Regions from separate parts of the Mus musculus genome. Here region 2 is reported to be linked to region 1. The links are microRNA targets in miRTarBase. Many come from high-throughput screens and were not tested one by one. Region 1 holds a microRNA gene; the other region holds the end of a gene's coding sequence.
Evidence for each region. The annotated mature microRNA mmu-miR-669g reads UGCAUUGUAUGUGUUGACAUGAU and lies in region 1 at 2,262-2,284, shown strand. An mRNA with a match to its seed (bases 2 to 7 or 8) in the 3' UTR can be bound and repressed. Matches are read on the target gene's strand: a 7mer-m8 pairs with bases 2 to 8, a 7mer-A1 pairs with bases 2 to 7 and ends in A, and an 8mer does both.

Region 1 (3,076 bases):
TTTTACTCACCAGGTGTGAAAGACTGTGGATCAGGAGTTCAAATTCATGCTTTACTTCATGATGACTTAGAGATATGCCTGGGATTCATGTGATGCCCCCTATGTATCCCTATCTGTATCTGTTTCTATTGTGTGTGGATTTGAGTATATGGCTGTACCTATCTACACAAATATATACATGTACACAGACACAAACAGAAACACACACACAAACATCAGTGCAACTCATCGATCCATTTGAATGACGTGTGACTTAGAGTTTTAAGATTCCTCAGTACTGAATGGGGAGAGGTCTCACTCAGCAGGAGAAATCCCTTGACAGAGTCAGTTGGATCAGGAGTTCAAATTTGTGCTGAATTTCATGATGAGTTCATGACCAGCATGGGATTCATCTTATGCCCACCAAAAATGTGCATGTGTGTATAGTTGTGTGCATATTCACTTCTCTATATGAATATGCATATACACGCATGCAAACACATTCATAGGAATGGCCAGAGCTATATCTCAGTTAGGAGGTGAGCACTCTTGCCAGAGCTAGGAAGATGAGGAGTTCAAATTCATGTTTAACTTCTTGATGTGTTAGAGTTCAGCATGCGATTCATGTGATACCCACCAAGATTTTGCATGTGTGTATAGTTGTGTACATATTTACTTCTGTACATAAATATGCATATACTCACATGCAAACATACTCCCACGAATGATCCGAGCTATGACTCAGTTAGGAGGTGAATACTCTTGCCAGCATCATGAGGATGAGCAGTTCAAATTCATGTTTAACTTTTTGGTGAGTTAGAGATCAGCCCGGAATTCATGTTATTTTCCCTGTGTATGCGTTTATGTGTAAAGGGAAGTGTGCCTGTACATGCGGGTATATGAACATGCATATATATAAACACACCTAGGGACACATACATGTGCACACAAACACACATGGCAGTCATCCATTTGATTTATACGTGCTTAGAGTTTCATTGAGTGTATATTCATGGTATAGGGAAACATCTCATTTATCAGATGAAAACTGCTTGCCAGAGTTAGGAGTCTCAGGAGTTCAAATTCATGCTTAACTTCATGATGAATTAGAGATCACCCTGGATTTGTGGGATGGACCCTAGGTATGTACATGCCCATATATTGTGTGTGCACGTACATGTGTATATATGATCATACATATAAATACACACACATACAAATGTATTCACACACACAGGCATGCACACTCACACACATAAGAATGACACTCATTGATCCATTTGAATGATATATGTCTTAAAATTTTGCTGATTATAAAGTAGAGGGACAGTGAATATTCTCACTCACCAGGTGTAAACAATTGTCAGTGTCAGGAGGATCAGGAGTTCAATTTCATGCTTAACTTCATGAGCAGTTAGAGATCATCCTGGAATAATGTGATGGCCCCTATGTACGTGCCTGTGTGCGTAAGTGCCTGCATGTATATGCGTGTATATTTTATGCATATACATACACACACCTACACACACATGCACACAGACATGCGGGAATAGCCCTCACGGTCCATTTGAATGATATGTGACCTACTGCTTTGGAGGTTATGTATGACTGGGCCAGGGTGAGGTCTCACAAACCACAGGAAACCCTTGGTAGAGTCGGGAAGATCAGGAGTGCAAGTTCGTGGTAAAGGCATGATGAGTTAGAGGTCATCCTGGCATTCATGTGATTGCCCCTATGTATGTGTGTATGTGTTGATGTGTGTGTACATGTACATATGTGAATATGATATACATATACATACACGCACACATAAGACACATATGAGCACACAGACACATGGGAATGGCACTCATCAATCCATTTGAGTGATAAGTGACTTAGAGTGAAAATGCTTGCTAGAGTTAAGAGTATCAGGAGTTCAAATTCATACTTATCCTCATGAGAGATCAGCTTGTGATTCCTCCATGTATGTGCATGTGTGTATAGTTGTGTGTGCATGTTCATGTCTATATTTGAATATACATAACATACACACACACGTATAAACGCAAGCACACATACACAGACACAGGAATGGCATTCGCCAATCCCTTTGAATGATAAGTGATGTAGAGTTTTAGAGATTATGCAATAGGGGGCATTGAATGGCCTCACTCACCAGGTGTAAAAGATTGACAAAGTCAGGAGGATAAGGATTGCAAATTCATGCTTAACTTCATTTGGAGACATCTTGGTATTAATGTCATGCAACCCATTTATGTGCATGTGTGCTTACTTGTATGTGCATTGTATGTGTTGACATGATATACATAACATAAACACACGTGTATCTGCAAGCACACACACACAGGAAAAATTGCATTCATTTATACGTTTGAATGATATGTGACTTAAAGTTTTCAAGATTATGCAGTAGTGGGACAGTGAATGGTTTTACTCACCAGGTGTGAAAGATTGTGGATCAGGAGTTCAAATGCATGCTTTACTACATGATGACTTAGAGATATGCCTGGGATTCATGTGATGCCCCCTATGTATCCCTATCTGTATCTGTTTCTATTGTGTGTGGATTTGAGTATATGGATGTACCTATCTACACAAATATATACATGTACACAGACACAAACAGAAACACACACACAAACATCAGTGCAACTCATCGATCCATTTGAATGACGTGTGACTTAGAGTTTTAAGATTCCTCAGTACTGAATGGGGAGAGGTCTCACTCAGCAGGTGAAATCCCTTGACAGAGTCAGTTGGATCAGGAGTTCAAATTCGTGCTGAATTTCATGATGAGTTCATGACCAGCATGGGATTCATCTTATGCCCACCAAAAATGTGCATGTGTGTATAGTTGTGTGCATATTCACTTCTCTATATGAATATGCATATACACACATGCACACACATTCATAGGAATGGCCAGAGCTATGTCTCAGTTAGGAGGTGAGCACTCTTGCCAGTGTCAGGAGGATGAGGAGTTCAAAATCATGTTTAACTTCATGATGAGTTAGAGTTCAGCATGCGATTCATGTGATGTCCACCAAGAATGTGCATGTGTGTATAGTTGTGTACATATTCACTTTTGTATATG
Region 2 (3,000 bases), not on the chromosome of region 1:
ATGCTAACCGGTAGCATATAGGTGCTAGCTCTCAGAACTCACTGCGGTAGTTATACCTCTTAGGGTATTTTTTTTTCCTTTACAGATTTCTATTTACATTTGGCTTTAAATATGAAAATATCTGATAAACTTTATAAAATGTACACTTTAAAAATGTCGCTTCTGCAAAATTTTCCTTGAAAAACAAAAAGAAAAAAAACGAACAAACAAACAAACGAAAAACAAATCTATGCACCAGAAATTTTAGATGGTTTCTTCTTTTTAAGCAAATAAAGATAAAAAAAATTGAAAGATTTCCCCTCCCACTTTTCTTGTCTCTGTACCCACCCCCTCCCTCTTTTCAAATAACTCAAGTCTTTTTGTGTTTGGGGTCAGTCCATGTTGTCACCCCCACTCTTTACTGCATCTTCATTTGATTGACATTCCACTGAATACTCTTTGGTTTGATTACTTTACTTTGCAAATCACCTTAATAGCAGCATCTGAAGCCTTCCATAGCCTCACACTGTCAGAAGCCAGTCTGTGTTCTCTCCTGTGACTTCTCCCTGTCCCCAACCCAGCAAACTCTTTAAGCAACTTGCAACCCTGCCTTAAAACCCAGATGTACACTTTCTCGACGCTTCTCTCTTGATTTCCATAACACCAACAGTTTTCAAATCCATTGACTTAGAAAGTTGAAAACAGCAGAAATTGTCAACGTTTCTTACAGGCACTGTATCCAGATACAGAGGCTCACAAGCCACAGACCGGCACAAACATCAACCTAAATAAAATACATGGTTCTAGAACAAGCTGATTTTTAATGGCATATTAGGGTGTAATACCATTAGAGGCTTGATTTTGAGACGCCAACTAAAAAGGAACTCAGCAGCCCCAGGGTTTACAAGTAGAGAACATTAAAACCAAGAGAAACAAAGGGAGGGAGAATTGAATGATTGAGCTAGTGTTTGGGAAAGGGAGGGAGGTTTTTATAAAGGAAGGTGAATAGGTAAAAGAGGCTTCTAGAAAATAATGAGTCCTTGGCAACGTGCTCTGAGACTTTCCAAGAGACAATGACCCACTGGCATTAATCATGAATGTTTACAGAGAGAGAAATAACCCTTTAGACTCTTAACTCCTTAGCTTGTAATTATGTTGTGTTTATATGGCTCACTAAGACCTAAAATACTGAAACAGTCCCTCTTACCCTCTGTCATGAAAAAGGAAACTTCCCTCTCACCTGTAAAGTGGATTGCTGCATTGAAAGTCTCTCTCTCTCTCTCTCTCTCTCTCTCTCTCTCTCTCTCTCTCTCTCTCTCTATCTCTGCAGAGACCTTAGAAGGACAAGACTAGAGGCCAGACATCTTTCTTAATGTGACACTGAGCTAGAAATGCCCTGGCAGTCAAGGCTATGAGTCAGCTGCAAAATTTGAAATCTGTTCATCTTCCCTGCTGGGTGACAGTTTGGAAGGTGCCAGGTTACCAACAAAGTTCAACCAAGATCTGATCTTATGGAACCAACTTTGGAATGTGCTAAGAGAGAAAAGCTCAGAAAAAGGGAAAGAAAAAATATTGATTATAGTGCATATGTAACTGTGACCTATGCTTCCCTCCTCCCCTCCAAATAAGAAAGAAGCACAAAAGAACAGACTCGAAAACACACTACATTGATCAGACTTTGGTGTTCTTTTCAGACTATAGTGCAAAAATGAACGGACTGCTTCACACCCTGCTGAAGTTCAAAGATGGTGTCTCTGGATTTCCAAGACAATCTGTGCAGGAGCTTTGTTTCTTTTTAAAAAAATATAACCTCCATGTGCAAAAAAAGAAAAAAAAAAGGAAAGAAAAAAAAAGAAAAAGAAAAAAACAAAAACAAAAACAAAACAATGTGCATTATCTTTGGTATTCATTTAAGGTCGTCTAACTGAAAGTTTGAGATAACCTATTAGCATTGTGGAAAAGAAAAGTATAAAACCCAGAGGCTACCATTTGGCTAGTGTTATATAATGCTATTATGTAATGAGAGAGAGAGAGAGAGAGAGAGAGAGAGAGATAACGAGAGAGAGACAGAGACAGAGACTGACAGGTAGACAGAGAGATCAATTTTTAGCAAACAAATTACTGGCCTCAGAAAATCAGGCTTTCATTTTTGGCAGTTAATAGCCAAATACTTGATGCTTTAAAGCACACTGTGCGCTTTCAACAATGCTCAACACTGACGTCTTAACGTTATGTAAAAGATAAACTACACTGCAACAAAAATACAGTTCGTGTTCATGTAGTTAGCAGCTTTTCAAAAAATTAAGGCAGAGTCTTGCCTGTGTTATGCCATTAAAATCACTCTTGTTCCCCTAAAGAGAAGCATTCCAGGTAAGTCATGTACCCAAACTGAGGCTTGCCTGCATATTCAAGTTTTGTAAAAACACAAAACAATACATTAAAAACCCCATAACTTATACTACAACAGATATGTGCCATCATGTCTCTTGGAGGCCTGCAAAGCACTTTACATCAGTCATCCAGCTTAGTCTTTCCTTGAAACCTTTGTGCTAGCCTTAGTCTCTTGTGGCTGCTTGCTTTCACCCACCTCTCGACCAGTACCATGGTCTGTATAACTGTCTCGGACCTCTGACCAACGTCAGGCTGTGTAGCAAAGTAAGTATTCCAAAGACGGAATCAGCCAGTCATATCTCCGATTCTCGCCTTAAGGGCCTGGGCTCTAGAGGTACGCTTGCCTGGTTGTGGAGATCTATGCCAGGAGGTGAGTCTGTGCTTGTGCTCTCTGGGACTCCGTTCTCACTATCCTCCTCTTCCTCTTTGCTTGTTAGGGCAACTTCATTTTCATAGCAAAATGAATTTGCATTTGAAAGGATGTATTTCTTCTCTGCTAAGTCTCTGGCACTACAAAGGGGGGTGTTAGGTACTTCATAAGTCTTATGGAATCTTGAATAGTCTACTTTATAGTAGTGTTTCTCTTCAAAGAGCACTGGCTCATAGCGGTGACCCCAGAGAATTTCATTG

Region 2: miRTarBase lists Kcnj2 as a target of mmu-miR-669g. Seed matches in the 3' UTR shown: 7mer-m8 at 1,928-1,934 and 7mer-A1 at 1,236-1,242.

What each region holds. Positions count from the first base shown.
Region 1 is chr2:10,474,909-10,477,984 of GRCm38, forward strand. It overlaps Mir669g (microRNA 669g), which reads left to right and starts at 2,242; the gene lies at 2,242-2,364. All of the region lies in intron 10 of Sfmbt2 (Scm-like with four mbt domains 2), which reads left to right. Mir669k (microRNA 669k) reads left to right here and starts at 392; the gene lies at 392-518. Mir467a-1 (microRNA 467a-1) reads left to right here and starts at 1,438; the gene lies at 1,438-1,510. It also overlaps Mir466b-8, Mir669a-1 and Mir669j.
Region 2 is chr11:111,072,734-111,075,733 of GRCm38, reverse strand. Kcnj2 (potassium inwardly-rectifying channel, subfamily J, member 2) reads right to left here. Exons shown (of 2, transcript NM_008425.4): 2 at 1-3,000. The coding sequence ends at 2,664. Among named protein-coding and RNA genes, the nearest start is that of Kcnj2, 8.1 kb to the right of the region's middle.